Yarrowia lipolytica: one gene and its partners. The protein of the gene in region 1 purifies or fractionates together with the protein of each later gene. This does not show direct contact. Links are inferred from orthologs where the notes say so. Each region holds a gene or a part of one and is shown in the gene's direction. Other genes may lie near its edges. The genes, in order: YALI1_A04022g, YALI1_B20589g, YALI1_F25254g and YALI1_E00533g.

Region 1 (7,707 bases):
GAAATTCCACATGATAAAAGTAGGGGCAAAACCAACTGCAGCCTACAGCCAAGCCGACGCCCAGGAAGTAGGGGTATGTGCACTGAGAGGAGTGCTTATATCGGTGGAAGCATACAAGGATGTGTGCACATGGAAGTGTGCCAGACATGCGTTCTTCAGGCTTCTGCTCTGTGAGTTTACCTGGATAATAAACCTGCAGTTGAAAAGAAATATCAATGGGCAGTTAATTGACTGGTACTTGAGTGTTGATGCGGAAATGAGGGGGTGAATAGATTCTCAATGTGTGGATTCGCACTATCAATGACAAGAATCTGTCCTGTTCCACCGCCTCTGTACCGCTTCCACTGAACCAACCCACTAAATCAACCTCGGTTGCTTGCGTCTCTCAAGTTAGCACACATTATCCAGGGCCACAGGGAAGAGCTGTATAGTTTACGCTGTACGACTGGGGTATGAGTTGGTATCGTACTTGGATGTAACACAACTGACGGCTTTCAGGGACCGTGAAGATCAATACCTCGGCGGTTGTTGTCTGCGACATACGCATCCATTGAGAAGTTGGAAATACGTTTTGAAAACCGTTTTCCGGGGGTTCTTTCACCGTATATTCGGTTTGCCACTCTCGCTTTCGATGCACGCTTTCACGTTGGGCTTACAGAGACCGTCAGGACCAATGTCGATCTTTTCCCACACACTCAACCTTGGGACTTCACAGTCAGGCACAGATCGTGCCCGCAACTAGTCGCAAGACAGGTTCCTTCTAGTGTAATGGTCTTTCTAACACCATCAACGGTTTTCTAGCTGCAAGAGAATCAGCTACAAGAGAATCAGCTACACCCGCGTCATGAAAAAACCACCACCCAAACCTCACTTGGATTTCCTCTTTAGTATAGACTTTGAAATAGCGTTGCTGAGACCAACCAGTAACTGAGCTACGAGTTAGATATTATTCATACTGAACAAGTAATAAATGATTCTCCCAAGTATGGTCGATGAATGTACGTACTGAGAAGCAGCCAACTCACAAAGTCGCATTACATACACACAAAGTCGCAATCAAAACACACATTTCTTCCTGTACCGAACCTGTACAATAGGAATACTGTATCCACCCAACAAAATCTCTTTGTCGTCTTTTCACGCTTTCTGAGACAGTAGATTTCAGGCCACCGCTATCAGGCATGCAAATCAACCATAACCGTAACCTACTTGGCCACAGAAGGCTCAGGTAACGGTGTCGATGGAGGGTTTTCAGGCAATATAAACCCGAGGGGACCCTTCTCCTCGGCTCCCCAAGCCTTCTTCACCCTAGTCATTCTCTTACCCCCTTTTTTTACTTCACCCTATACCCTCTTTAATCATGCTCTTCCTCAAGACCATTGCTCTGGCTGCCACTGCCGTTCTCGCCCAGGTGTACGAGCCCACCTCTGATATCCACTTTTACGCCCAGTCTCAGGACAATGTGGCTCCCTGGTCCCAGTCTCTTCTGACCGTCCAGGACTCTACTCTCGTGGCTGTCACCACCCTGACCCCCAACGATACCACCTCTGCCTTCGACACCCACGATGACAACTTCATTGCTCGAAACGGCAAGTTCCTCGCTGCTACCGCCAACAACGGCCTGGTGCTGTCCGACTCTGCTCCCACCCGGCAGCTCAAGTGGGTCTCTGGCTCTCTCAACGTTGTTGACAACGGCAAGACCTCTCAGCTGGTTGCCTGCCCCTCCACTGCCAACAACACCTGGGTTATCACTCTCAACTCCAACTGTACCAAGGGTTTCCGAGTCGCTGTCAAGCCCCGAACCATCGCCAAGAACACCAACACCTTCTCTCAGATCCCCGTCAACATCACCCACTCTTCCTCCAACATCACTGGCCCCGTGTCCATCGCTAAGCCCGAGCCCGCCAAGGAGGACGATAAGCACAACGGAGCCATGACCAACAGCGCTGGCGCTGTGGTTGTTGCCGTTGCTCTTGTTGCCGTTCTTTTCTAAGTGACGACCGGATCGTTTCAAATCACATTTTGTCGTTTCTGGCTTCAGAACAGACACACACCACCAATGACTTCGCCTCAGATCGCAGTTTTTCTGCTCCCTTAAAACATCAAAAGATCAGATTCCACATCAGATCATTCAGATTCATGTATATTTATCATTCAATGCAGGCAGGTTATAAGCAGGACGATAGTAGACAGTAGTAGACAGTGGACTGGTTGGTACAAGTATCAGTCCACTGATCCATATGTAATCCCACTAAAAGGGGACTTTGCAAGACGTGGTAAGCGCAAGGCAGCCATGTCGACGTCACCTCGACATGGAAAAGTCCTCATATCTAGACCATTACGATCAGAAAGTCCATATATCTGTATACATTTGGAATCAGCATCAACTTTCGAGTTGAGTGATGAACTTTTTATCACCACTTCTCTTCAAAGCCACGATAGTATGGTCTGTATCGTACAATGTACTTGCGACCACTCTCTGATGCTGTGTATAATCCAAGAGATAACACCAGAAATACAAATGTGTCGACAAAATCTGCAATACTAGCCTATCTATATATTCTTTTTCTGATTTTATTCCACGATCAATCCCAACTATTGACCCCAATAATCTCATCTAATTACTTGTACTCTAATTACTTCCGCCAACCATCCATGTCTCCCAACATCATGACTCACGCGATGAGAATTTGACTATTTCTGCGACAATAATTCGGGTGGCGTTATATATATAGAGGGCGCACCGGCATATATTTTTTTCCTGCCACCTCCCCAGTACAATAGTTTATGTGAGGAGCCTGCTGTACCTGTGCTTCTGGTAAAAGCAAGGAGGCTGACTAACGTACTGAAATGTACGGTGACAGACTGAGATGTTCCAAACTCTATAGTGAAAATATGGCCTTCTTGTGATGCGTCATACTACGAGGCTACCCTACGACACACGCAAAATGACTGATTTCGAAGACGCTACGCCTGATGTGGTGATTGGAGGCGACATTGTGGCCGAGAGCCAGTATTACGAGGAGGAGGACGAGGACGACAACATTGTTGAGGAGACTTCCGAGGTCAAGAAGACCGTCAAGTTTGCCGATGATGGCCTCACAGATGAGGAGCGACGAAAGAAGGAGTTTGAGGAGGGAGGAGGGCTCCCCGAGCAGCCTAGCGACCCCGATTTCACCAACATGACCGGTGTTTCGCCCGAGATTATTGGCCGACAGGCCACCATCAACATTGGTACTATTGGTCATGTTGCTCACGGAAAGTCCACTGTGGTCAAGGCCATCTCTGGAGTGCAGACTGTGCGATTCAAGAACGAGCTGGAGCGAAACATTACCATCCGACTGGGATACGCCAACGCCAAGATCTACCGATGCGAAAACAAGGACTGCAAGCGACCCGGCAACTACAGATCGTTCCGATCGGACCGAGAAATCCACCCCAAGTGTGAGCAGCCCGGCTGTGACGGCCGAATGGAGCTGTTGCGACACGTGTCTTTTGTTGACTGTCCCGGTCACGACATTCTTATGTCCACCATGTTGTCCGGTGCTGCCGTCATGGACGCCGCCCTTCTGCTGGTTGCCGGAAACGAGCCCTGTCCCCAGCCCCAGACCTCTGAGCATCTGGCCGCCATCGAGATCATGAAGCTGCGACACGTTATTATTCTGCAGAACAAGGTCGACCTGATGCGAGAGGATGCTGCTTTGGAGCACGAGCGATCCATCTCGCGGTTCGTCAAGGGAACCGCCGCCGCAGACGCTCCCATCGTCCCCATTTCCGCTCAGCTCAAGTACAACATTGATGCCGTTAACGAGTTCATTGTCAACCGGGTTCCCGTTCCCGTGCGAGACTTTGCTGCCTCTCCCCGTCTCATTGTCATTCGATCTTTCGACGTTAACCGGCCCGGAGCCGAGATCGACGAGCTCAAGGGAGGTGTTGCTGGAGGATCCATTCTCAACGGTGTCCTGCGACTCGGAGACGAGATTGAGATTCGACCTGGTATTGTCGAGAAGCAAAACAACGGCCAGTTCAAGTGCAAGGTCATCCGATCCCGAGTCCAGACCCTGTTTGCCGAGAACAATGACCTCAAGTTCGCCGTGCCCGGTGGCCTTATCGGTGTCGGAACTCAGGTCGACCCCACCCTCTGCCGAGCCGATCGACTGGTCGGTCACGTTCTGGGACACAAAAACGCTCTTCCCGAGATCTACATCGAGCTGGAAATCAACTACTTCCTGCTGCGACGACTTCTGGGTGTCAAGACCGAGGACAAGAAGCTCACCAAGGTCGGAAAGCTGGCGCGAGGCGAGGTTCTCATGGTCAACATTGGTTCCACCACTACTGGAGCCCGTGTCATGAACGTCAAGGCCGATATGGCCAAGCTGGTGCTCACCACCCCCGCATGCACTGAGCTCGGCGAAAAGATTGCTCTGTCCCGACGAGTCGAGAAGCACTGGCGACTTATCGGATGGGGTTCCATCAAGGAGGGTTCCACCATTCCCCCCAGCGAGTTTTAAAAGGTATAGATTAACGATTGGAGATTGACGATACAAGGATCCGAGTAAGGAATGAGCGACTGTTATGCTTAACGTACGCTGTGTAGCGATACAGTAAGACCGAAGCTGTAGATGTATCCGAAGCACTAGTGGTATGTACTGTAGTGTACTGGACTGATACTTGTACATACTGCACACCTTGCTGTACTGAAACGCGATAGATAACACCAAGTATTGATTATATGAAGAGCTACTTGCCCGTCTTCGTTGGTTCTCTTGCAATCTGAGGCAAACTAAGTACAAGACCTCTACTGTAGACAGCCTCTGAGGTCTCACTGTATCTACTGATTCACGCCGACACAGGGCAAATCTGGTAAGCGAGAAATATTAGTATCAAAAAGATCAGACAGACTTGAAATTACACTGTAGTGCGCTTTCATTAAACATCAGTATTTTGCTCAGCTTGAATCCTTTAATTGCTTCTCCTCCCTCTGGTTGTGTTCTGAAAGGGGAGGGCATCGGTAGACAGAAATGGCGACGCATAATTGATCCATTCTAGCTGTTGGTAAATCAATCAAAAAGTATTGAAGGGTTCTCACAGTTCCCTTTTAGTCCTGTCAATCAACACTAACCCTCAAACAAATATGAAGGTCTTCTTACTCTACTTCGCCGGCTCCCCGCCGTTGACGAACCCAGCTTCTTGGTTGCTGAAAACGAGCTTTGACTCCGAAAGTTGCTACTGGACTATAGCCATACTCTTGTTACCACTCTTCCAAGCCAACCCTGTTATTGAAAAGGAAGTTGTTGGTGTTGATAATGCCGTCTCTCTCCCCTTCATCCGGCTACTTACCAGAGAGCGAATTGTCAAAGCCAAGAAGCTCCAGATCAGAATCACCGAGTTAGATCAGATCACGTTGACCTTGATGCTGCTAACAAGCGAGATATTGCCGTTCTCAAGGTCACCGGCTCCAATTTCCAGTCTTTTGCCAAGCGCTTTGTCAAGACCATTCCGGTTCTGGTCCAAAACTTCGTGCCTTCTCAGCAAGTTATGGCTTGAGACGGAGATGTTACCCTACGAGATTGAGGGTAAGTCCTTGGTACCGTTGAGGTGGTCGAATTAGTACCATTGGGTTGGTGGAATCGGTCTTCGAGTTCTTCCTCCCTTTAGCCCCAAGTAAATGCTCTACTACGACTACCAGGGTCTGTCAGCCGAGACCGACAAGGAGCTCAACTACCGACGTGGCGAGGGTCTAGAATGGTCAACTTCAGAATTTCGGAGGTGATGTTTGGTTCCCTCAGCCCGCTCTCAAGCTGACCACCCCGTCACTACGGCACCAAGCGTATTAGTAGGATTAGTTCAAGTTATAATATCAGACCTTTTGATTATCCCTCACATTCATCGGACATGAATCCCATCTAATAATGGTGCACATACAATCTATCTGCCTGTATATATAATAATTTAATCAATAAATACATGTATCAGGCCTTTGTAACCAGAGGATACTTTCTAGGCCGACCTCGAGGACGTCTAACGCCGCCCTGGTATCGCCGGTCTCGACGTCTGGACCTTGATTTCGTGGTTCTTTGGGGAGCGGCTTTCTCCACTGTGGTGACCATTCGAGGAATGGGGTAGGCTGTCTCAAACTTGGAGTAGTCTGTTGTGGACTCAACCTCGGAATCGACATCGTCAGCGCCAGCATCACTCTCGCTGTCATCATCCTTCTTGTCCCCTTCGAGTTTCTGCTCCTCCTCTTTGACCCCATCACCGTCCTTGTCATCCACTTCGACGATCCTCATTCCAGGCTCCAAGTCCTCTCTAGTAGGAACCTTTGTGAACGGCCACTCCGGCACCGGAGCCCAAATCAGCTTTGATGGCTCCAACTGCACATAGTTGTTTGCCTTGTACTTGTTGACGACCATATCGATGGCCTCCCAATTCAAGCGAATGGCATACTTGCCTGTCTCAGGGTTTCTGACCAGAAATTCGAGTGACTCAAGAGCAGAAATGACGTCGTCAGGTGTCATGCCGGTGGATTTGGTGATGTCCATGACGGAGAAGTTTGGGATGGTTTTCTTGTCGGCCGCCTTTTCGCGAGCATTGAAAAAGAACCGGCAGATCATCAGCCGCCAGTACTTTCTGTAGCTCAGCAAGCCCAGGTCACTGAGGGGTTTTTCAGGCGTGCCTGGGCGACCTTCGACTCGACTCAGCAGGTACGAAAAGTCAATCAGCAGCTGTCCGTATCCCTTTCGTTGGAAAATGGGGAGAGTCAAAATGCAGGACACGTTGTTGGTGCCTGTGGTTTTGTAGGGTTGTTGTTTTTCCTTGGAGAAATAGCCGACGAAATGGCATCCGAACGCGTCATTTTCGGTCAGAACGTAGAACATGAAGGGCTCCACGTCGTAGTAAAGCGTTTTCGAGTTGAGAAACATTTTGGCCAACAGACACAGGTTCTGACAGTATAGCTGGGCACGCGCACCATCAACTTCCCAGATGGAAATGTTGCCGTGGCGATATATTTCTGTTCCGGGAGGGTGACGGGCTGCACACTTTAGTTTGTGGCGTTTGCGCACGTGTCCGGAAGACATGTACTTGAGACAGAACTCGCACAGCGGTAGCACCTTGTTTCGGGCGTATTCTTCTGGGTATGGCGCTGTATGCCAAGTGTTGATTTCGTAGTCGCCAAAGTGGATGCATGTAATGTTGGCGTTCTTGGTGGTTCCCAGCGACGCATCTCCTCGGGAAGACCGTTTGGACTCGGCCAGGCTGAGAGTCTTTGAGAAGAGTGCAATGTCGTCGGCGTTGGGGTTGGTTTCTGCTGTCGATGCGTCCTCGCCCACCAGAGCTCCTCTGTAGGGAGGCTCCGTTTCAATCGGTGTGCTAGGCGACGAGGAGTAGTCCGAGTTGATGGGCGATGGCGATCGTCGTGGCGATGGACCGGGAGACGTGGACGAATCGGGCGACTCGATTAACCGGGGGACGTTGCTTGTGGCGCGTCGTTCACGTTCACGGCCTCTGTCTCGGATCTGCGCGCTTCTAGACCGGGTTTCGCGCGTGTTTCGCGGCCGTCGCACCCTCACTCTCAGACCATAGTCGTCACTGTCGTCGCCACTGTCGGTGCTGTAGCTGTCGCTGGAGTTGGAGTTGCGTCTGGGCACTGGGATGCGCAGCTTGACCGGGCTGCGTCTCGGAGACGCCGATGCCGCTGGAGGAGTG
Region 2 (8,080 bases), on another chromosome or scaffold:
TGCTTGATGATTGCCTCAAGAGTATCCACATGAACCTGGGGGAGCTGAGAAAGTGTGGACTCGATCTTTTGAAGTCGAGCTGTAAGACTGTCCCCCTCAGAAGGATTCGAAGAATACGCAGATCGAATAAGGTCATATATGTTGCAGGAAACCACGGAGTCAGGGAGCTCCAGGAGATAGAGTTTGAGAAGAGCAATGATCTCACTGGCCTTGAGACTGGTTAGGCGACGCGCATCCAACTTGGTTACAGTGTCAACAAGCCGCTTCAGCTGGTGGGTTTCCTTGAGAGAAACAGCGTCTGATCTCCAAACCTTTGATAGATCATCATCGACAGAGTAGGAGCTGTCCAGTTGCGTCAACAGCACTTGAGCGAACATGGGTACCTGCTTGGCGTTACCTTCTTCAAATTCAGCGAGGGCCTGTCGTTCCAGCTCGACTCCAAAGAATTCATCACTTACTTTCTCTTCATATCCTCGGTAGGCTGTAGGGTTGGGACTGAAGTGACCCGTCTTGTACCTCTCCACGGTATATCTAATATCCTTGATTGGCTGGATAGATTCGTGGTAAACAGCAACTCTCGCGGCTGTAGTCTGAGTACCTTCCATTCCCTTTGAAATGGCTTCTCCGAAATCCTGCATAACTCTCTTCAAGGCAGCCAGTCGCCCGAGTTCGCATTTCTCAAAGAAAGACAAAACCTCTAGAATATTTTCCTCCAGCTCAAATCGCAGTCGTTCCAGTTGCTCAACCTCCTCCTTGTATCGCTGCTCGAACTGCAGCATTTCTGCTCGGGCTTGAATAGGGTCCGTCTGTGGCTGGTTTCGGAACTTCTTGATGTATCCCGAAAGAGTGGATGTAGTGGATGCAGTGTGAGACTCGGGCTGCAAGTGCGAAGTAGTCTGTTCTGCCTTGGGCTCATGGGAAGCGTCGGTTTTACCCTCAATAATAGCCATGACGGAGTCCTGCCATTGATAGTTAAGAGAAGAAGCGTTTCCGAATCTGTTTCCAACTTGTCCAACTAGTCGAATGTATCCCTGTGCAAGCAGGTCCTGTCCAAACTTCTCCGCAGCTGCGATGCTGGGCATGTCCATGTTCTTTCTCAGCCACATGACAATCTGGTCGCCAGTCGAAATCCGCTTATAGGTTCCCAGGATGGGCACCTTGAGAGACTTGAGAGGGATCTCTTTGAGCATGTCGGTAAAGATCATCTTGAGAGCAGCCTCCGAATATGTCTCACCTCCCAATTGAGTCTCCTTAGAGCCACCATCAAATTCGGCAGCAGAAGCAGAGCTAGAGGGAGGAGTGGAAGCGGCTGTAGAACCTGGAATTGACTCACTACCGTCAGTCTTGGGTGATTGTGGTAGAGTAGGGAACGCGACATTGCTCTCTTGGGTCAGGTCTTCCATCGCAGCACACTTGCTGAAGAAGGATCTCTGCAAAGATTTGGTCGTGGCCAGCTGCTTCTCATAGGACCGTTGACGAACATGGTACGTATCCCAGGCTGTGGTTACACGCAGCTTGTGTTCTTCAGACCATTGCGCAAATGGAGACCGCACGTTCTTATCAAGAGCTGAAGCCACCCGATAATGAGCATATCCCTCCTCGGACATGTCCAGAATCATTCCTTCGTATGCCTGCTTCAGAGTGGCTCCCTCGTCACGTCCAAACCCCACCTTTGAGGCGTAGTGTGAGCTTCGAACGCTCTGAAGGCGTTGTCCATATCCCTCCTCAATCGTGATTCGAGACGACACTAAGTTAAGTACCTCCTGGTTCTCCTGGATGCCCTGCTGGAGCTTGTCGTAGACGGTTTGTACACCGCCAATGTAGTCCTTTGTCCAAAACGAATCTTGGAATGACATGGTGGGCGTGTTGCGTGTGATGGTCAAAGTGCTGTGCTGTGTATCGTCGCTACAGTAGACCCATACCTTGCCTTAATGCTACTGTACTGTAGCGATGCATACCAACAGGGAGGGTAAACCTAACCCAAGGAGGCTTGTCACGTGAGATATGAATAAATAGATATCAACCAATATAGAACTGCTGTCACGTGACGCGTCTATTAATCCGACTACTTTCCATCTCGTCAGCGGCTCATAGCAATGGGTGCAGCCTTCATGGTTCTTTCTTCTAATCAGTAGTAGATTCGCCATGCTTACACTCATACTTTGAAACTACAGTAAATACACGCCTACAATGCATGTTTGGACCATTCCTCTGTTTCAGCCTGACAAGGCATAAAGTCAAGAGACATATCTGCTAATAATAAATTGCATGTCGATTTGATCAATGGTGTGCAAGCGTGACCGGCTCCGGAAAGCTATACAAGTATGACTCCCACACAATGATTGGGTGTGGGTAGAATAGGGGGTTGGGAGGGCGGTCCTTGCTCCCCTTCACAGTGGTATCCGTACTGCGCCTTTCGTGACACCGAATGAACAACAAAAAAAATTGGGCACATGCTCTACACGTCAGAGAGTCAGACAGTGGCTAACAAGTATACCTGATTGGTGTCAGATTGATCACAAAATGCCTGGGGTTCCGAACTGTCCATCCAGAGAGTGAGCGACTCGTACTGGTAATTAGTACAGTACATTATCTAAGCACTTAGAGGTGATCAGGAGAGTAGAGTCGAGGCAAAGGACATGAATCTAGTATATAAATAAAAGAAGTTGGAAGATAATGGTAAAGCACTTGATCTGGTAACTACTCCATATGAAGTATGTACATCCCGGTCAGAGCAATTACAGGCAGTGAACTCCAAAAAAAACAACCATAAGCAGGAAGGCAGGTCCATAGGGACCAAAACATACAAAAAAATTTGTCTCAGTTAGTTACACTAGCATTTTGACCACAACAAAAGTAGAATGGTCGAATTATATTCGCTACTCATTGAATAAAACCCATATGACTCTGTCCTTCTACTTCTACGGTATCCTGCCAAAACTTTATTCGCAAAAATTGAGACTAAAACCCAAACCCCCATGCTCCGATGCGTTTTTCAAACCGAAAGACTGGAACCACTATCCAGGTAATACAACTAACCGTCAATGCCCCCCAAGAAGAAGAACGCCAAACCCCAAAAGTCGGCCATCGACAAGGACTTCCGTCTACAGGCAGTTATTCTCGCAGATTCCTATCAGGCTCGTTTCCAACCCCTCACCAAGGACTATCCTCGATGCCTGCTTCCTCTAGCCAACACTCCTCTGTTGGAATACACCTTTGAGTTCCTGGCCAAGGCGGGTGTCTGTGAGGTTTTCCTCATGTGCTGTTCGCATGCTGACAAGATTGAGGAGTACATCAAGACATCCAAGTGGTCTGACTCGCATTCGCCATTTGAGATCCACACCAAGAAGCTGACCGAAAGTATGTCTGTTGGAGATGCCATGCGAGATCTCGATGGAACCGGCTCCATCACCTCCGACTTTCTGCTTGTCTCTGGTGACGTAGTCTCCAACATCGATTTCACTCCTGTTCTGGAGCAGCATCTCCAGCGAAAGCAGGATGACAAGAACGCAATGATGACCATGGTTCTGCGACAGGCCGATGCCTTCCACCGAACCCGTTCCCGAATTGAACCAGGTCTGTTTGTGCTAAATGACAAGACCTCTGAGTGTCTGCGATACGAGGAGCTTTCTCTCAACAACCCCACTGGGTCCATTGATCTGGACGGAGAGCTGCTCAATGACGATGCCACTCTGTCTATTCGAAATGATCTCATTGATTGCCACATTGATCTGTGTTCCATCGACGTGCTGGCCCAGTTCACCGAGAACTTCGACTACTCTACCCTGCGATCCGACTTTGTCAAGAACATCCTGACCTCAGAGATTCTCGGTAAGAAGATCTACGCCCACATTGTCACCGATGCTTACGCTGCTCGAGTGAGATCACTGCAGACCTACTCTGCTGTCACAAAGGATATCGTGTCACGGTACTCTTACCCTGTCGTTCCTGACTCTAACCTCATGGATGACCAGACATTCAGCTACCAAATGGGCCACATTTATAAGGAGAAGGGTGTTGTGTTGGCTCAGTCGTGTGTCATCGGATCGAGATCATTGGTGGGAAGAGGAACCAGCGTGGGAGAGCGATCGATGGTTAAGGATACTGTTATTGGACGTGACTGTAAGATTTCCACTAATGTGAACTTGGTGGACTCCTTCATTTGGAGCAATGTTATCATTGAGGACGATGTTACTGTCAACGGTGGTCTTGTTGCGGATGGAGCCATTCTGAAGAAGGGCTGCAGCGTTGGACCTGGCTCTATTATTGGTCATGGCGTCACTGTGGAGGAAGGACAGAAAATCGAGGGCACGTATCTCGTTCTGGACGCTGGCGAGAGTATTCCATTCGACGCTATTGACGACGATGACAGCGATTTCGACACGGACGACGAGTTCAACGCTAACGTCGGCTCTCTGGTTTACAATCTCAAGGAGTTGAACCTTTCTGACACCTCCATCAACGACCACTGCTACGAGGATGACGAAAACATCCGAGCGGTGGCTCCCAAAAAGAAGACGCGACGGCGACTCTCTTCCACAGTTTCTAACGTTTCAGATAACCACGAGGACGAGTTCCAGAAGGAGGCTATCGCTTCTCTTGACCGAGCTTTCCAGGACAACCACGAGATTGATATCGCTGCTCTGGAACTTGGTACTCTTCGAATGTCTTCCAACGTGCCCTATGAGGAGGTTCGAGCTGCATCTGTCAAGGCCATTAACGGCTACATCACTCGAGTTCTCAATATGGGTGTCACCGACGACCACAAGGTGCCCACCCAGAAGGTGTGGGGCAAGTGGGCCGAGCTGTTTGAGAAGCAGGTGTTTGAACCTGCCGACCAGATCGATTTGCTCAACATTTTGCTCAAAGACTGTTCTCGTCGTCCTGTTGGCAACTACATTCTATTTGCTGCAGTGCAGAGTCTGTATGACGCTGATGTTCTCGACGAGCATGTCATTGTGCGATGGTGGCACCAGCAGCCCGAGGATGTGTCTCCTGAGATTGCCAGTGTGCGAACTCTGCTTGGTAAGTGGGTTACGTGGTTGGAGGAGGCCGAGTCCGAGTCTGAGGAGGAGGATGAGTCCGATTAGATCTTACAGCGCATGTGTATATATGAATAGACGGTTAGATATGGTACCCGAAATCCAAGTACCGACACTACTTTAGCGATGAAGGAGTGTCTGACAAGTGTCTCAGATCCATTATGAGACATGTGATGAATGTGAGCGGGAATGTGCATGTCCCTTGTATGACACTGTATGAAAACGCACCTACTTACTAATGATTTGAAGCCGTTATTTTAAATCTCGTAATGGGTAGATCTGAGCGTCGGGCTAACACGAAACAGGGTTCCATTACAAGTAGTTATGATACCAGTAGAAGTGTATTTGGCCGTTTGAGGTCCAACCCCTCAGGGCTTGGGAAAGCGTCATTGGGTTCTTCCAGGTGCATCCACACTGTCTCCGCATCCCATGGATACAGCGAGACATTCCGAAATGCACAATCCTCGCCCTACATTTTCGGTTTCAGATGTGGTAGAGTCGCCAGATCCACGAGCCTCGGATAGCATGAAAAGTTGAGATTATCTGAGACCAGCAGAACATGTGTGCATCTACATGTGTCTATTTTTAGACATTTTTTTTCGGTGTGAGATCATCCACCATGGGTCGCTGAGGACTAATATAACAGGATCTGTTGACACTCTCCCAAATGAGCAGGCGATTGCAGGTATGAGTACTAACATAAGTACATTTCTCTATACAAATACGAGTACTGTACGTGACTTTCATAATCGTACAGTAGGATCTGAAATGCTGGCTCTCTCCAACACGTCACAGGACAAGACGTTTAATGCAATTAAACCTTCGAGGGCACAGTTATCCGCCGCTACTGTGTGTTAGTGTGGAGCGATATATATGTAACTAGCTGGAAGTGGTTGCGCAGGTACCCCCACATTCATCTAATCAACAGTAGCAAACCTCTCTGCTGTACATTGTTCATAGTCTCACGGAAAGACCTCGCTAAGTAACCTTTCTACTTTACTTATACTTGAACAAGTGCCGTACTTATAGAGTTTACTCCCAAAGTTCTGACTGGAGCTTGTTCCCCTGGTTCCCCTGCAATTATGCAGCGTGACGTGCAAGAGATGTGTGCGTGGGCCAGAGGAGGTTTCTGAATGGCTTTGGGTGCTTAAACGACAACAGTGATGCTGAAACGATACCTAAATGCCCCTTCATGCGCCGACTACTGTGATTTTGGTAATAGTGGCAGTTTAGCATCCTTCTATTGTTTGCGGCGTATACATTTGACGTCTGACTTTAGATTAGCGAGAAAGTACCTACCACCATACATCCATATAGATAATAGCAGGGAAATTACGGGAGATTGGTTTGTTGGGTGAGTTCACGAGGTAGCCCAGTGGCTATACGAGTTTCCCCGAATGATTTGCATCCGACAAAAATGGTTCCGATTATTGACTGACGTCACAGACACTAACTCTCTAAACGGTGCCACTCTCACCTCCAACTTCAAGCAGTCACTTCATGCTTCAAGGCTCAACTCTAAAATGGTGAAACTCAAACCACAACCAAGTGCTGCATGCCAGTGCGACCTGTCTAAACACTGAACTGACTGGTCGACACATTTGACGACGCAACATTTTGTATCGGTCGGACCAAAACACACAAGTGAGTATTCCTTTTGAGATGCAATCCCCACGCAACCACGGCTAACCCAGTGTTTGTATGGCCCTCGACCACTCGCAATAAGGCGAAGTACACGGGGTACGGCCCACCAAACTACTCTCGCGAAAGGCTCAATTCGAATGGCTTTTCCGAGTCATATTCCACTACCCCGTCGTCGGTTTCGCTTAATACTGACTACCGACAGCATCTGGGCTTCACCTCCTCGCGTTATCGCAGTGGTGGCAACGACTGCTGCTCCAGCGACCAGGGATGTGACCATGACAGAGAAGATGAGAGTCCAGGTGGCGGACGAGATTCCGGAGGAGGAAACGGGGAAAATGGAGGAGGGAATGATCAGGGAGACAACAACAAGCACAGCCGATTACCTCCACTGCCATCTATTGACGGATATGGACCCTTGGTGCCTATTGTGCCGCAATTCTTCCACAGCAACAGCTTCTACCGATCAGTGAAACTGTCGACCGGTCAACCCGTGCTTGTCACTGTGTCTGCCGAAGGAACGCTCGAAGACCTTATTCGGGTTTCGTATGAGTGGCAACTACTAAGGGGAGATGTGGAGGAAGAGAAGGCGCAGACGGAGCCAACGACAGATGGAGGAGAGGCAACGAGATCGGACAGCTTCAGAGACAATCTAACAAACAAAGACTGGGCTGGCCAGGAGTACTCTTTGCCACGCGATCTTGCGGGAATTCTACGACCCTCGGAGCTGGTTCAGGTCAGCTCAGAGCCTCCCATCTCAGCCCTCATCTTTGACAACAATGAGAAGCTTATGACTTTGCGCGAGAAGTTTCTGGATGTGGACATTTGCGAGGAAGAGGATGTTTCGCCTATTCGCCCTCTCAATCCCGACTTGGAGGCCACCCCTCTGAAACCCAAGGTCGTCAGCACCAATGGTCAACAGAAGTCGCCTGTCAAGCTGACTATTTCGCCTGCGACAGCCAACGGGGTGGCTGGAATGGCTGCAGGTGCACCGACGCCGTTTTCGCCAACTCCCTTCCACAGAACCAAGGACGAGATCCTCGAGATCCTCAGAGCCATCATTTCCGTTCTCACAACAATCGCAGAGGCCCATCAGCATAACATTACCCACCACGGCCTCAACCCAGGACGAATATTCCTGAATGAAAAGGGCGAGACCTTCATTTCATCGTGGGACTTCTCCTTCTGTCTGCGAGTCGAAGATCCAGCCAAGGGATACAGGAGAACCCACATCAAGCAGATGGGCAACAACATGTACTACGTGTCGCCTGAGACTACTGGTGAAATGAACCGATTGGTGGACTTCCGGGCAGACTTCTACTCCATTGGGTGCATTCTCTACGAGCTTCTCATTGGATCTCCACCTTTTAAATCAGCTGACCCTCTCGAGCTCGGCT
Region 3 (9,269 bases), on another chromosome or scaffold:
CTTTAGAGTTATCGAGATGAGGGGTGCAGGTCTTGCTTTAATAAGGCATATTCTGGAGGGCGCAGCGATATAGGGGCCGGTATCGGGGAGGGAGGAGGAGGGAGCTGTGGAGGGGGTTACACACACAATTCCCGGTTGAAAAGCCATCAAGAAGGCCTACAGACCTTCCTCTTCAACAAGACTCCTTTGTCAACCCCCTCCCTTTGTCTCTTTCACGAGATTCACTAAAAAATTGCTACCAGTAGCGCCAATCGTGTTTGCTCCGGGGACGGACACCGCAATTGAACCTTGTCATGTGGGTAAAAAAGAAAACTCAACTGGATGCGTACAATAAAGAAACAAGTGCATTCTCAGGAAGCGTGATTGGTCCCTTGGGCCGTCTGGCGAATGTTCCAGACACTTGGCCGCTGTCAAGCATATCTTCCTCAGCCGTTTCCAACGGCATGACAGCCCCGTCGCTCTCCGATCGCTTGCTTCATTGTCCTATAGTGCTCGTACAAGTACAAGTACATACTGTACTTTTATTCGGTTTCATGTTCTGTCTTACACATCATCATCTTTAACTGTATTGTGACGACGCTGTATCGACCACCATTCTGATGTTTGGGTACAACTGGATCCTCTGTTATAGATGCGCCTTGTCAGTAAAACGCCGTGCTACGGCTGCATTGGTATCGATATACGCACCGTACCGTACAGACGGCGATGTTTCAGGGTCACAGCTGCTGTAGGGTATCTACAATGTGTGCCGTCTCTTGAAGAAGATGCTCGCTCTGAGGGACGCCATCCAGAACAACCACCTCTTACTCGGACCATGCCAGAGTTTGAGTGCTCCCACTGAATCAAACTGTGGAACGTGAATAACTCAGCGGCGCTAAATGTGTGGGGTGATCACAACTGGACTACAACTAGTCACAGAAGTGCAACAGCAGCTAAAGCACCGCTCGAAGCAATGGCTGGTGGATGTGGGGAGGTGGCGAACAGTCTATATCGACTTTTAGACAGAACCAGGTGGTCGAGCAACAAACCACCAGACCTCGGAATCCCAGGCCCGTCAAATATAATTTAGTATTCAGTTGGTCCACGTCTGACATGCTCAACTCAACCTTCTACCGAGGCCGTTAACCCTTGCGACTCAGACTCAGATTAAACAGGGTCCGAGTGTAATACAGCTCCGAGTCCCGATGAGAGAATTATCCAGAGCGCGCAGCGTGTTCCATGGGGATGAATTCCGACCAATTCCGACAGCAAACACGGACTCAAGTTAGTAGTGGCTATCATCTGACGGAATGTAGCTGCCTGTGTATATACTGGTACTACTTTTTAGCCCCTTTTGCAACACTTCCGACGGAACTACCACCGTTATAGACGGTGCAACAAGACTCCTGCCCCCACTCCATTATCTCCGCTCCGCTAGATTGTCCATTTAACCGCACAGCTGACGGGCATAACTGAGCATCGACAACGTGGATCATCTGCTAGACCGAGTAACGCGAGAGAAATGGTAAATTTAGGAGCTGAAGGAGGTCAGGAGACGTATTCAAGCAACCATCGGGTAAACATTGAGTAAATATTTGGCTAAAAAATGTCCCATGTTCCAGCGTTGTATCTACCAGTACACTGTACTTGTACATGACTCATGGTAAAGCTGTCACAACCTGACAAATCAAGCAGACTGCTCATCCCCATGTGGGAGCATCCATCCTTGCATACTGGCCACTTCTTTGTCAACAGCTATTTCGGTTTAATATGGGGTTCAGAATCGATTGCCGGCATATGACTGACGAGTTATGTGTAGAATGCCAGTCACATTGGTTGTGCATGGTGTATGGGGGAATGAACAACAGATACAGAATCGTTCCGGTACTTGAATAGACCATCCTTCTGTATGAGACCACGAGTGTCAGTACATACAGTAGCTAATGCAACAGAATATGTGCAGAATATACCTTAGCTTCCTTCCCATACACCTTCTCGGTCAACTACTTGCACTCGTACTCGTACTCGTGCAGTAGTAGCTCAAGCTGTGATATAGCCAGCGAACTACGGCTGTTAGTTCGAATATCGTAGAGCGCAGAATGACTCTCAAAACAGCACAATCTACAGTACAGCCCCGAGCCACTTGCATGTATTTGCTCGTGGTCATACACACATCATGCCACTTCCCCTCAGATGCATGAGTGTACCTTCCACTACAATACTTGTAGCACAAGAACCATATGTCACCAGAGCATACACGGAGATGGAGTGTCGGAGAGATGGACGTCTTTATTCATCAAATCTGAAGTACAGGTACTTTTATTGACACTTCAAGAATCAAAAGTTTAGGAGCTTGAAAGGCTCCCATTTACTCTTCAGCGTGTCCCTCCAACATATCCAGCTCATTATACAATGAAAGGGAGCGTAGTAAGGGACAAGGGTTTCCTCCTTCGTTGTATGCACACAAGCTGTAGTGGATTTGGTATCTCGTTAAACCGCCACCGTCCTTACATGAGTGCGAACAGTATCATTTCTCTTACCAAGAGATGGCCAAGAGAGGACACTTTATACGCTCGACTTTTGGAGCTATTTGAGAACAGCGCGAGGTATCCATCAAACATGATCTCTTCGTCAGTAACATTGTACAGTTACACAGCATTGAGAGAGTAAGGCCCAGCAATCAGTGTTGCTACAAAACGCCAGGGAAGATGAAGAGACACTTCAGACTTTTGAGCATCATGGCACAAGAGTACTCGTAGTACAGTACCAGTTAGGTCGAAAGCCTGAAAATAGCTACATTACTGATATATCAATGCACTCGAAAAAGCGGTTGCAGGTTCCTTTCGTCCATTTTGGGTCCCATATACTCTCCGTGAACTACAGTATGTACGATGTACTCGAGGACTGGTCCATCGAACCTACAGATACCGCGATGGTACGATACAGTTCTTTTATTGGTAGATATAGATGACATTTGGAACCCGGTGTGCTTATACAGCAGTTCTACAACTCCTACAACGGAGCCGACAGCTCCACAGAGTCTCTGACCTCGCTCTACACAACTAATGCTCTAACACAGGCCCGAAGGTATATCAGAGAAGCCGCGGTTCAAGGTAACAGGGAGCATATCACCGGGATTACCGGGGAAATCTGAAGACCAAAGAGACCAGAGATACACAACAGTCAGGAGGCATGTTAGTTCCACTCCATACAAACTACTGTACATACGTGCACCTACAGTACATTCAAACCTGAGAAAGATCATGAGATATCTGTAAGTGCACAACTTCATTCAAGTCCAGTACTCTTACCAAGATATATCATCACCGTCGTATTAGACACTTTCCAAGTCATGCTCTCCTCCACACCTACTGTACGATACGAGGCTCTGTCTGGTCATGTGACCTTAGTTAAATTGCATATATATACATACAGCACACACATCTTCTTTCCTCGTCTCCCAACTACAAAACTCTAACTAACTAAACACCACTGTAAAAAAATTAGGAGCTAATGGTAGGTAGTGGATCTGATGATGACGTGATAATGCGAGGAGAAATGGGACAGCTTTATAGAATTCTACTTCCAAAAACTGAATACAAGCACCACGCCCTGTCGCAGCCCTCTACTTCTGCCCCTCGTCACAACCACAATCCCTTCTTTTTGCCTAACCCTCAAAGTTACCCTACCTGCAAGTCTCACACGTCTGCTGAAAAATTTCTAGTTACACCTACCAAGCAACCACACCACCAATATGGCTCCCCATCAGAACGTCCGTCCCGAGACGGTCTTGAAGCGAACCGACGAGCTTATTGCCGTGGGCCAGCAGGATGCTGCTCTGGAGCTTCTCCACGAGACTGTGTCTGCCCGAAAGGCCCGAACCACTTCTGTGGCTACTCTGGAGCCCATCGTGGCTCGATTTGTGCAACTTTCCGTTGACCTGCGCAAGGGCAAAATCATTAAGGATGGTCTTCACCAGTACAAGAAGATCGTGCAGTCCACCAACGTGAACGCCATTGAGCCTGTTATCAAGCAGTTTCTGTCTCTGGCCGAGCAGCGAGTTACTGATGCTCAGGCCCAGGCTGACAAGATTGCCGACGAGGAGGAGGCTGACGATCTGGAGGCCGAGGAGACGCCTGAAGACCTGCTTCTGGCCACGGTGTCCTCCGAGGACACCAAGGACCGAACTGACCGACGGGTCGTAACCCCCTGGCTCAAATTCCTGTGGGAGGCCTACCGAAGCGTGCTGGACGTTCTGCGAAACAACAGCAAGCTGGAGGTCATCTACCAGCAGGTGGTCGAGCAGGCCTTCAACTTCTGTCTGAAGTTTTCTAGAAAGACCGAGTTCCGACGACTCTGTGAGCTTCTGCGATCCCATCTGCAGACCACTGCCCAGAAAGGCCCCAACGCTCCCCCCGTGACCGCAACTTCTGTCGATCTGTCTGATGCTGACACTCTGCAGCGGTACCTTGACACCCGGTTCTCACAGCTCAACGTGGCCGTCAAGCTGGAGTTGTGGCAGGAGGCCTTCCGATCCGTCGAGGATGTGCACACCCTGCTGACAGTTTCCAAGCGACCCGCCAAGCCCCTGATGATGGGTAACTACTACGAGAACCTGGCCCGAATCTTCCTGGTCGCCGGAAACTACCTCTTCCACGCTGCGGCCTGGAACAAGCTCTTCCACCTGCTGTCCCAGTCTCCCCGAGGTGCCATCCCCGTGTCCGAGTACCAGCGAGTCGCCTCTTTTGTGCTTCTGTCTGCCCTCGCCATCCCCCACAACTCCAGCGCCGAGGATCGATACCGAAACACCCGGCTCACTGGTCTGCTCAACCTGCAGCGAACCCCCACTCGAGACGCTCTTCTCAAGTCTGCGCTGTCCCGAAACATTCTGGCTCACGTCAAGCCTGAGATCAAGGCTCTGTACAAGACTCTGGAGGTCGACTTTCACCCTCTGTCTATTCGAGCCAAGCTGACCCCCGTGGTTGGCGCTATCGCTGAGGCCCCCGAGTTCAAGCCCTACTTTGCCCCTCTTTACCAGGTCATTCTCACCCGGCTCTTCCAGCAGCTGTCGCAGGTCTACGAGTCCGTCAAGCTTGACTTTGTCATCCAGTTGGCTACTTTCCCTGCCCCTTTCTCTGCTACCCCTCTGGAGATTGAGCAGTTCATTGTCCGAGCCTGTGCTCAGGGCGAGCTGGCCATTAAGATTGACCACGACCAGCGATCCGTGCTGTTCGAGGAGGTCCGAGCCGCCACAGGCTCTGCTTCTCTGCAGGACACTCCCATTGAAATTGTTCGAACCCAGCTCTCTCGGCTTGGTCGAACTCTCTCTGTTGCTGACCCTCTCAACTCCGCCGAGGCTCGAGAGCAGCAGTACGTGGCTGCTCTCACTACTGCTCAGGACAATGCTGAGCGAGAGCACGCCGAGACTCTGGCTCGACGAGCTGAAATTGAGGCCCGAAAGGCCCAGGCTGAAGCCGAGCGAGCTCAGCGAGAGGAAGAGGAGGCTCGAAAGCGAGCTCAGCGACTTCTGGACGAGGAGCTCGCCGAGAAGGAGCGTCTGGCTGCCGAGCAGCACGCCCGAGAGCTCGAGCGGATCCGAAAGGAGCAGGACGCCATCCGAGAGGAGGAGAAGAAGAAGCTGGCCGAGGAGATCAACGCGAAGGGTATCATCACTATCGATCTCGACAAGCTCGAGGGTCTGGACACCAACGCTCTGCGAAAGATGCAGGTGGACCAGCTGGCCAAGGAGACCAAGGAACTTGGAGACCGACTCCGAGTCACTGCTCGGCGAATCGACCACACTGAGCGAGCCTACCGAATGGAGGAGATCAAGCTGGTGGAGGACGACTTTGTCAAGCAGAAGCAGCGAGACCGAGAGATCTACGATACTCGAATCAAGCTCATCAAGGACACCGCCAAGGCCGAGCACGACGCCAAGGTCGAGCTGGCCAAGCGTCTGCAGCGAGCCGTTCCCTTCTACAAGTCTTTCCGAGACGATATCCGTGTCAAGCGAGAGGCTGAGTTTACTCGTCTTCGAGAGGAGGCCGTCAAGAATCTCGCCGAGGCTAAGGCTGCTCGAATCGAGGAGGTCAAGGCCAAGCGAATCGCTGACGCCAAACGAGCTGAGGAAGAGGCCAAGGCTGCCGCTGAGGCAGAGGCCAAGGCTGCTGCTGAGGCGGAAGCCAAGGCCAAGGCCGAGCAGGAGATGCGAGAGAAGCTGCTGGCAGAGAAGAAGGCCCGAGAGGAGGCCAACGCACGAGCCGACGCCGCCTACGAGAAGCAGCGACAGAAGGAGGCCGAGTTGGAGGCCAAGCTGGAAGCCAAGCGAGCCGGCTTCTCCGGAGCTGGTCGACAGGCCCCTCCCAGCGGTGGCTACGTTCCTCCTTCGCGACGAGAGGGTGGATACGTCCCCCCCAGCCGACGAGGAGATGCTGGAGCCGCTCCTGGAGCTGGCTCTGGAGGTTACACTCCTCCTAGCCGACGAGAAGGTGGCGGAGGCGGATATGTTCCCCCCAGCCGACGAGAAGGTGGCGGAGGAGGCTACGTTCCTCCTTCTCGACGTGAGGGTGGATCTGGCGCTGGATCTGGAGGCCGATATATTCCTCCTTCCCAGCGAAACTAAAATTAAAGGTGATTGGTATAGATTAACAACTGATTTGTTGAGATACGAACAAGTAGAACAAGTAGAACAAGTGGCGTTTGTGAAAGTACTGTATGAGTACACATACTTGTAACGGTACATACTGTACTACTGTAGTAGAGTAGAGTGGGAGCTGTGCTCCAGATAGATTGCAAATGCAATCAGAAGGTGGGTTAAACAACCATACAAGTAAACTTTCATTGAGATGCTTGGTACACATGAGAGGGGCGAGGCATGTTGAATACGAAAGCAAGCTCGACAGAGTGGGCTATCTTATCTGAATCAAATGGAACGATCGAGAGGTGACATGTCCTATATTACTACAGTACAAGTAGAGAGTACTTGTAGTTGGATATGATTATGGCACTGTGTTATAAAAACGCCACTCTCGGGGACAGCAACCTTCAGAGGCTTGCTTTTGGGCGTTGAGAATGGACTTTCACGGACATTGTCTGCAGCGCCAAGTGGCTCCGTTTTCTTATCTTGCAGTTGATTGCACGAGGGTTTAAACCACGGCACGCAAAGTTCAGCCGCCTGCTTGACTTGACGAGAGGTAACCTGGTGAAAGGCGCTTGTAGAAAGCGGCTGAAACTGCCCACCCGAGCCGTCCAACCGAGCCACTACTTTGGCTGAAAACGAAATTGACTCGCAGTGCGACGTAAAAACTGGAGTATGGTGCTGAAACAGAACTCATCCACAACCAAAACGATCACAATTGCTCGCCTACTTGTACTGGTACGTTCCCTATCTTTTTCCTCTCGTAATGTGACCGTTTTGGGATTTAGTTTACACCAAGGCCAAAAGTTTGATAAGGAATGAGAGCGAATCTCAAAGGTGACGTAGATGTTGGAGCCTCGAAGCCGTGGTCCCTGCAACCCTCTACTTGATTTGCAAAACTTTTTCTGTTTCTAATACGTAAAAAGTTTGGAATGTCTCCTTATTTCAAATCTTGTGTGCTCGCCGACGAACAAGTCGTCTTTGGATCAATAATGGATGTGACACTGTCTAGTTTTTCCGCCCCGGCTCACTAGTGCTCCGTCTGTTAGTATTCATAATCCGGGTCATCATACGCTATAATACACTAGTTGAGTTTTTTCATCCGCTATTATAGCTCCTCAGACGGGAACTAGTCGGGAGCGGAACGTTCTTCATGTCCCCGGAAACGAAAACTTTGGACATGGTAGAATTACAGTGGGTGGCGCTACATTCTAAGGAGGGGAGGTAATAGTAAACAGACTGGGTGTGATATGTCCGTCTGGTTTTCGGACTAGCCTCTGCGTCATCTCTCATGGCGCAAAGTGCTACTTGTAGTGTAATGCAGAGGGCTTTTTCGGCGGAGTTCACGTATTCACGTACAGTTGTATTCACCGCAGCCAAAAACGGGCTAGTCAAACAGCCTTTAACAACGGCTAAGCTCAAAAGTCCTCGAAGGATGGGTGCAGTCATTGCAGCCCCTGTGTGCAGAAGACGGCTTCTACTCGGGGAGAAGAGAGGTGTAGAGTGGTGTAGATCGTGCCGTGCCAGTCAGCTTGATGACAATGATAATGACCTTCTACCCCACAGGCGGGATTCCGTGTCTGTCTAAAGCCTACCGTGAAGCGGCTAACAAGGCCGCAGAGGCTAATATCGAGTGTCTTTTGGGCTATGGTGAAAAACTAATCCCTGGGCTGCTGTTTGCGACGAACGGCACCTCACGTGAGTTTACACATGATGCTGTCTCATGTGTCGGGATAAGCGCCCCGATGCCGATGGGGGGAAAGCTCTTTGTGAGTAAAGCTTGTAATGCATGGGCCCGGTGCCGTTCAGTACGCATCGAAACGCCCGTAGGTTCATAGCTCCGCGGTTTCGACAAGGCTGGCTTCACTTTAGGCGATAGTTTAACTGGCTCGAAGTCTGAGCTTGCAGCCCTGGCGTAGGTGGAGTGCATGGCTGAGAGAGAAATATACACCTTGTCTGCGCTTGTGATACGTAAAAAATGTATGACCTTATCAGTCGTGTGGAGAGGAGGGTGGGTAGTTGTGCAAGACCCGGATTGGGCGACATTCATTCTTTTTGACCTCGATTCCTTAGCCCAACGGCTGCTGTGGTTCATCTGACAAATGGCTTGGCAGGGTCCGCGTTAATCCGCTTCGGCCAGCACTGTGCAGGACATTTTTCTTGTGTCTGGAATCATTTTCATTGTTTGGTGGTGGAGCATGAACTCTATCAAAAACGATGGTTTGGTATCAGAGTTGCGTTACACTGATTGGCTTACCCTCGAGGTATGGGGATAGAGAATGATACAGCCCTACGAGATGGCGACAAGATATCAGCATGTTTATTTACATGGGGACCACTTCAACAAACGGCACAAGACCAGATTCGCGTTCGCAATCCTCAATTACAATCTCTTGGCGCTTCGCAAAACGTCAGCCAAGTGGCATGGCACTGCAATCTGACTCATTGACAAGACAGACGCGCTCGCTTTTTTGAAGTCTATCAGACATCCCACCAGGCACGGCACCATCGGAAGTAGAGTTTGATGGACTCACGCGAGAGACTCCGCGATAATGGACAGATATATATGGTAATGGGGTTCTCTTGGGCTGGTTTAGTAGAGCTCTCTCTAATACTTCTCTCTCTCACTCACACACTATGGGTTACGACGAAC
Region 4 (7,393 bases), on another chromosome or scaffold:
AAGCCTTCGGCCTCATAGTTGACGTCCTGGGCGTAGTGGGCAACCACAAACGACGTGTTGCCGAACCGCGGCTTCTTGAAATGCTTGTTCTGCGGATTATCTAGCTGCTGGTACAGCTTGGTGCACCAGCCATCGTCGCTACCGGCGGGGAGACGCGACTCCTCGTCAAGCAGAGAGAGGATACCCAGCTTTGCCTCGATCAGGTCGATACAAGGCTGGTTGTCGGAAAAGTCAATGAAGGTCCAGTTGATTTCCTCCTGCACGTACTCGTCCTGCTCGAGCTTGAACACGTGCTGGTTGAATTCCTGTTGCAGCTTTTCGTTGGCGTAGTTGATGCAGAACTGTTCAAACGAGTTCTTCTTGAAGTGCTCGAAACCAAAAATATCCAGTACACCAATGAAGGTCTCGACCTGTTCCTGCACTTTGGGGTCGCACAGGCCGCCATTGAGCTCGCTGACCAGCCAGTCGAACAGTGACGTGTAAATGTGCTTGGACACGGAGTCACGCACCACCAACGACTGCTTGTGAGTCTGGTTGGACACGATCTTGTCGGCTCGCGTCACAATCTGTTTCTTGGTGATCCATTTGGCAAACTGGACAGGGTCAATCTGCAGCAGCTCACAAGCCTTGATAAGAGAGGGCTCGTCGGATGACAGAACCGCGTCCTGACGGGTCTGGCCAATTTCAATGTTACCAATGTGCAGAATACCAGCCAGAATGTTCCACAGGCTCTCTTGCTCGGGTTTGGCGATGCCAATAGTCTCGAGAGACGCACCGGTCAGCTTGAATTCCTCGCTGTCGTCCACGCCTTCAATGGTATCATTACCTCCTTGGTTGAGGTATCGAAAGGCCGGAACACCTCCCTCGACACCTAGAGCCTTGGCAAGCTCGGGAGAGGCACCCTTGACCAGCTGGTAAAAGATGTGGTAGTTTCGCTCTGTGGCAGGCTGGAACACGAGACGAGATCGCTCCAGCAAGAAGGTTCGGATTCGAGCACCCACAATGTCCACGTCCTTGTTGAAGTTGATCTCCAGATATTTGCCGAACCGCGACGAGTTGTCGTTTCGGGTGGTCTTGGCGTTACCAAAGGCCTCCATGATGGGGTTGGTGGCGAGAATCTGCTCCTCGACGTGGGACAGTGAGTCACCTTGTGACACGTCGCGTTTTCGTGGTGCTAGCGGATCCTCCACTGTGGCAAAGTACCGCATAATGTACTTTGCAGACACGGTCTTTCCTGCTCCGGACTCTCCTGACACCACAATGGTCTGGTCCTTCTTGTCTCGCAGCATGCATCGGTAGGCGTCCTCGGCAATGGCGAACAGATGGGGCTCAAGCTCACCACGGGTCTTGCCGGCGTAGGCCTGGATAATGTCGGGGGTGTAGAGGTTGTCGACCCGCTGAAAAGGGTTGGTGGCAATAAGCACGATTCCCGAGTAGGTGTAAATGTTGAGCATCTGGTATCGGGTTCGGATCGCGTGCAGCACACTGGGCTCATTGAGATAGGACAGGGAAGTCAAGTCTTCGGTGGACTCCAGAATGGGGGGGTTTCGCAGGGGGAGCTGAGGGACCTCGGCTGACGACTTGAGCACAGATACGGAGGTCTCTACCGACTTTTCCTCGCCGTTCTCCAGTGTCAGGTTGATGGTCACCTTCTCACCATCCGTCTTCTGGTCGACCACCTCGGCACCCACCCATCCTTCTTTTTCGTCTCGGATCCAGCAGCGGCTGTGTTAGCAGTTGTGTAATTAGGGGTTTATCACGAGATTTTGACAGTCGTATGAAACGCCGAAAAAACGCGAAACCAGCTTTTTCGGCGTGGTATTGCCGGTTCATCCTCCCCTTCTCGTCATACTCACATTCCGGGCTCGTAACTGATGGCCATGAGCGCGTCGATCCGTGTGGATAGTGGTGTGGTGGTGTGGTGGTGTGGTGTTTGTGTGTTGAATTAATAAGCCTATTGCACGACGTGTGGACGGGGGAAAACACGTGTGGGCTTGTGTCGTAGGAAGAAGCGCAAAGGAATTTGAACCAAGTGTGGTCGGTAGCGTAGTTGCAAAATGTTACTCAAGATAGATAACACCCGATACTAAACACCCTTCTCCTGTTTGATGTGTTGGAAGGAAAGTCAAACTCTGTGTGCTAGTGCTAACCTGCAAGTAACCGTGCTCAGCGAAACACAAGACAGCAGCAGCAGCAGCAGCAGCAGCTGTCCAGGTGGCACCTAAGCGGGAGCTAATGGCGCCAAATCTAGCATGTTCATTCTAACTCCCCAATTCTGATAGGTGTTTGTTTCATGGAGCGACGCGGTAGGTCCGTTGTGGCAATCTTCAAAGAAATATCTCCAGTAAATAGCCGACTATTGACAATAAAAAAAAAAAATCAGTCACTACTCTGTGCAAACATACAATACAACTCAACTATGTCCGTGTAATTGTTTCTCGCTGGCACGTGTCATTATTATTATTTCCAGTACTTGTCCTCGTGGGCCCCCGTGATTCACCTCCCCCGTATGTACTCGTACCGGTACTACGTGTCCAAAATAATGCGCCCCTGCACACATTCCGAAAGAAGGGGTTGAAACACCTGTGACCGGTAAACGAAGCGAAATTGAAGTGAGAAATGAGTAAATAAAGGCCGCGCTGAAACGGGCGAAATTGAGGGAAATTAATGGGCCCAAAAGACTAGAACAATAGGGCCGACAAGTTGACAGCATACTACTTGTTTAATCGATAACACTCCCTCCTACCGCGTTCACAGCACCTGACGGGACCCCTGAGACTCCCGAAAAACACGCATTCTTGAGCTGCAGTACGCACCGTTAAAATGCGTATGGCTTAAGCTAAAAACAGGGGGCTCAGGGGCTCAACATGTGACATGGTGCCTCTGGTCGATCGCCGAAAACAGAGAAAAACACAGAGCCGTTCTGAGACGGCATGAACAATCATCTGAGACCGTACTGTTATTATTTTAGCCTGTCACCAAGGGCTGGCATGTGAAAAGCTAAACTGTTGCCGGGGTGACACCTTCTACACAACGCGACAGTCTCTAGCATTAGCCTTTTTAGGTCACGTGCCAAATAAACGAAAGAGGACACAAAGGTTAGGGGTCACCTTGGGACTGTTAATTAGTGCTTATTAATCGAAAGAATGAGGTGCTTATTAAGCATGGCCCACTACAGACAAATATGAAATGTCAATTCATGCATAAATTATCGTTGTTATCTAAAACCGTGTCTACTCCGTTCGCTGTTCGCTGAGAGCAGTCTTCTTCTTCTCCAGAACCTCCAAGGAGTGCTGATGAACGTTGTGAAGCACGAGTCCGAGGCCAGCCCAGGCCACACCGGAGAAAACGTATCCGAGAGGGTAGTAGCCGGCAGGCTTGAGTCGGATCTTGTTGGAAAGGAACTTGGTAGCGAATCCTGAGTTAGTATGTGATGTGTGCGAAGATATCTGATAGCATGATTGGTATCTGGTGTGCAGTCCATATCAGAACCGAATTGAAGACGATCTGAGATCACCGCTTGATTCATCATAAGCAATGCAGTTGATCCGTGCCAACAACCACTCCAATTCCAGTCAAGATTGGTCAAACATGTCTAGAACCCTTTGTGTCACTTGCAAGTCGATGGTTAAGACACAAAAACATGTCGTCGAAGCAGCGGAAATTGTCGGTGGACAATCTCGTCGCGCATTGCGATACTCACCAAGACCGGATGCACCGACTAGCGAAGTAAACAGAGCCATTTTTGCGGTATTGGTGTGTGCTCCAGAGATGACTTTGGTGATGCAATATGATTTTGGAGGTTGCAATTTGCGGTGCTGTGATTCGTTGGGAAAGCCGGGTAACTTTAAAATGATCTTGGTAGTTGTCAGTTCGAGTTGTGGTTGCAACATATTTAAACCCCCGAATGAAATCTGGAACCCTAATATATGCAAAAAAATCTAGTCTGATGACTATAACTGGAGATATCATCAAACCACCACAGCTCTCACGCCATGTCAGAACTTACACCCGCTCAGCTTAAGGCACAGAAGAAGGCCGCCAAGGCCGCCAAGCGTGCGGCTTCCAAGGAGGCATCGGGCCAGGCTCCTACTCGAGATCCACGAGAGGCCAAGAAGGAACAGCAACAGGCCGCAGCCAAGGAGGGAGGCTCATCTTCAAACACCGGAAACAACAGCAATAACACACAAGGCGGAAGCAATCAATCGTCCGCCTCTGCATCGTCCAAGGAGGATCGAACCCGGGCTTCCAGACCCGCTTTGTTTGGGCACCTTGAGAAGGCAGGAAAGGTGACTGCAGCGGATGCTGGCAAGGACGTGCATCCCGAGGTGATCACCTTGGCACTCCGGTACTCGTCGTATCAGATTGTGGGCTCTTCTGACCGAGCCCGAACTCTTCTGCAGGCCTTCCAGCGGGTTATTGCTGACTACGAGACTCCCGAGGGAACTACACTGTCTCGAAACCTCACTACACATCTTGGTCACCAGATTGATTTTGTCATTTCTGCACGACCGTTGTCTGTGTCCATGGGTAATGCCATTCGGTGGCTCAAGCAGGAAATTTCTGTGGTGAGCATTGACATGTCCGATCAGGCTGCCAAAGACATGCTGGTGGAGAAGATTGACGAGTACATCAAGGAGAAGATCGATGTGAGTGGATCCGTCATCGTGGAGAGCGCCGTCAACGACATTGCCGACGGTGACACCGTCCTCACTTTTGCACATTCCGAGGTGGTGGAGAACACCTTCATTGCTGCTCACCAGGCCGGTAAGCGGTTCAAGATCATTGTGGTCGACTCCCGACCTCTGCATGAGGGCCGAAAGCTGGCTCGAGATCTGTCTGCCCGGGGCATTGAGTGCATCTACATTCTGGTTTCGGCACTGGCTCATGTTCTGGACGACGTTTCTCGAGTCTTTCTGGGAGCCCATGCCATGCTTTCTAACGGCGCTCTGCTTTCGCGTGTCGGCTCTGCCCTCATCGCCACTGCTGCCAAGCGAAAGAACATCCCCGTGATCGTCCTATGCGAGTCCATGAAGTTCTCTGACCGAGTCCAGCTCGATTCTGTCACTCTCAACGAGCTGGCCTTCCCCGAAATGCTGGCAAACACCTACATCAGTGACAAGAAGAAGCTTCCTGAAGACAAGGCCAAGACCTCGCTCAAGTACCTCAATCTGTGCTACGATCTGACTCCTGCCGCAAATCTCACCAAGATTATCACCGAGCTGGGTCATCTGCCTCCCTCGGCCGTTCCCGTCATCATGCGAGAATACAAGTCCGCTTACACTATGTAGGGGAGGAGGTTAAGAGAGGTATTTGTAAGATAGAGGAACGACAAGGGGGGACTAAAATATAGACAATAAACAGTACGTTAATGGGGTTCGTGTGATATTGATGTATGTACAGTACATACTAAAGGTAGCATATGCAGTTTTTGCCAATGAGTCGTCGTGTCATGACGACACTCGCATAGACCTTTAGACGATTAACGACTTGTAATCCGTGTACAGGTATGTACGGCACCAGTATATATCTACGATATTGCAGCCGTGAGAGATTTATTTGACTTCATATCTGAACAGTTGTAGTTACTGACAGTGTTACTCCCTCGTACCAGTGCCGGTATGTAGTCTTATGAGTATGCACACACACCCGTGTTCGAGACCATGTATTAGCTAAAACAGTGTCTCGGATACACGAGATAAGAACAGTTGTATCACACACAAGACGGGCAAGAGTCGTCTTTACTCCTTAACTAATGCCCTTGTTCTGAAGTTTGAACATACTGTCCACCTACAGGCACGCCTTAGGCAAGAAAATCACTTACACTGTGTCGAATATGTACATTAAATAGAGATGCTAGATGAGGGTTTTGCTGGATCTGTGTTAGTATGTTGAAGATGTGTAGAAATATAGTTGTTTGAATGCAACGAGGAACTGCCTCAAGTCGTATATAAATGTCTGGTCGCTTCTAATAGCTCGAGGTGCTATTTCAGGTAACAGAGGAGGAATTCCGACGGCTTGGCGAAGACTAGAATCCAACATGTCCGTGTCTAGACTTGGGTTGCTTATTCAAGACGCCACTCAAGATTAGAGAATGATTGTCAAAAGAGCATCTTAAATAGAAAAGGATAGAATGAGCAAAGACTTCATTTTTTGTCCAAACGGGCACTTCTGCTCACAAAATAGCTCTCGCCTGTCCCAGTTAGCTCTCCAGCTTCGTTACTCTGTTCAAGAGCAACCATATCATACTCACTTCTCATTCAGCTTGACGCAAAAGGTTCGAATCAAACGGGGGTCAGCCTGGACAGCTCGCATGATTTCGCCCTGGGCTCCGGGAGAACAGTCGAACTTCATGTAGAAGTAGTCGCCGACCACGTAGCTCTTCTGCTGGGCCTTCATGATCTGGGGCAGGGGCTTGAATCGCCAGCACTCAATGAGGCGGACCACGCCTCTGTTGCCGATGATCATTCGGCCGATCTGGGTGACGGCCTGCTTGGCGGCCGCGTGTGCCGGAGTCACCGATGCGATTCCAACGAGTTCGTAGAGCATTTCGAGTCTGTTGTGTAGAGGGGTAGTTGGGATGCGATGACGTCGTGTGAGAGATGAAGGTTGAAAATGTTACTGGATGCTGCAACCTTATTTTGGCACTCTGAACATGGTCGGTCTGTCAGTACAATACGTGAGTAATTAAGAGCACTTTAATATCGAGCCGAAATAGGTAGGTCGGATATATGAACAATAAAGGAAATTTACCTGAGGGGTCTGGTTGCTCTCAAAGTGGATAAAATATATGACTGCGTTCATGTAAGCCAGATGCTGCTAACATTCATCTCTAATTACTGCTCAGGTAAAAGTCACGTGCATTTTTTGCGTTCGGAGCATGTACCAGTATCAAGTATGTACTGTACATACCTGGAAATGACCTGTGGGTGCAACATCTCGGACAAGTACCATACCGGCAGGTATTGTAGCTTGCTCTGAGAGAGTCGCTGTATGTAATATCACTGACTACAGTATTACGGGCAGATGGCGTTTTAACCTGTTTTAACCTGTTTTAACCTGTTTTAACCTACAGTAGGAAGAGCATTGATGGCCTGTCACATTTCTCGAGACCACAGTCCTGGTTAATGATGATTATTTGATGGGGTCTATTGATAAATGGTATCTTGCAAGAGCTATGAGTGCTTCTGGGATTGTTTCCATTTTTGTGCAGCTAACAGACATTAGTTAAATGATATTGATGATGTCCTGGCTTTCAAATTTTACCCAAGTAATCAGCCAACTAAGACACTTACCTAAGTGCCTGGAAAACGGTGATATCTCGAGATACTGTAATAGTACAAGTATTAGGAACGGCGCTGGAGAAAGAAAGAAAAAGTCTACCTCTCCTGTA

The links.
Region 2: the proteins of YALI1_A04022g (region 1) and YALI1_B20589g purify together in Saccharomyces cerevisiae (affinity purification with mass spectrometry; 8 studies listed by BioGRID, with this or other methods). This does not show direct contact. The link is inferred for Yarrowia lipolytica from reciprocal best matches to the Saccharomyces cerevisiae genes GCD11 and GCD6.
Region 3: the proteins of YALI1_A04022g (region 1) and YALI1_F25254g purify together in Saccharomyces cerevisiae (affinity purification with mass spectrometry; 6 studies listed by BioGRID, with this or other methods). This does not show direct contact. The link is inferred for Yarrowia lipolytica from reciprocal best matches to the Saccharomyces cerevisiae genes GCD11 and RPG1.
Region 4: the proteins of YALI1_A04022g (region 1) and YALI1_E00533g purify together in Saccharomyces cerevisiae (affinity purification with mass spectrometry; 5 studies listed by BioGRID, with this or other methods). This does not show direct contact. The link is inferred for Yarrowia lipolytica from reciprocal best matches to the Saccharomyces cerevisiae genes GCD11 and GCD2.

The regions. Positions count from the first base shown.
Region 1 is NC_090770.1:399,305-407,011, forward strand, and holds YALI1_A04022g (uncharacterized protein), read left to right. Parts: upstream 1-2,909; coding exon 2,910-4,511; downstream 4,512-7,707. Other genes in the region: YALI1_A04006g (uncharacterized protein), read left to right, coding at 1,361-1,993; YALI1_A04044g (uncharacterized protein), read left to right, coding at 5,135-5,222, 5,366-5,547; YALI1_A04071g (uncharacterized protein), read right to left, coding at 5,973-7,707. UniProt on the Saccharomyces cerevisiae protein: As a subunit of eukaryotic initiation factor 2 eIF2, involved in the early steps of protein synthesis.
Region 2 is NC_090771.1:2,055,942-2,064,021, forward strand, and holds YALI1_B20589g (uncharacterized protein), read left to right. Parts: upstream 1-3,044; coding exon 3,045-5,090; downstream 5,091-8,080. Other genes in the region: YALI1_B20577g (uncharacterized protein), read right to left, coding at 1-1,856; YALI1_B20634g (uncharacterized protein), read left to right, coding at 7,474-8,080. UniProt on the Saccharomyces cerevisiae protein: Acts as a catalytic component of the translation initiation factor 2B (eIF2B) complex, which catalyzes the exchange of GDP for GTP on eukaryotic initiation factor 2 (eIF2) and is regulated by phosphorylated eIF2.
Region 3 is NC_090775.1:2,521,732-2,531,000, forward strand, and holds YALI1_F25254g (uncharacterized protein), read left to right. Parts: upstream 1-3,733; coding exon 3,734-6,601; downstream 6,602-9,269. Other genes in the region: YALI1_F25289g (uncharacterized protein), read right to left, coding at 6,932-7,242, 7,286-7,313; YALI1_F25309g (uncharacterized protein), read left to right, coding at 9,254-9,269.
Region 4 is NC_090774.1:49,316-56,708, forward strand, and holds YALI1_E00533g (uncharacterized protein), read left to right. Parts: upstream 1-3,995; coding exon 3,996-5,291; downstream 5,292-7,393. Other genes in the region: YALI1_E00510g (uncharacterized protein), read right to left, coding at 1-1,725, 1,857-1,882; YALI1_E00527g (uncharacterized protein), read right to left, coding at 3,234-3,418, 3,704-3,743; YALI1_E00551g (mitochondrial 37S ribosomal protein bS6m), read right to left, coding at 5,857-5,878, 6,254-6,549. UniProt on the Saccharomyces cerevisiae protein: Acts as a component of the translation initiation factor 2B (eIF2B) complex, which catalyzes the exchange of GDP for GTP on the eukaryotic initiation factor 2 (eIF2) complex gamma subunit.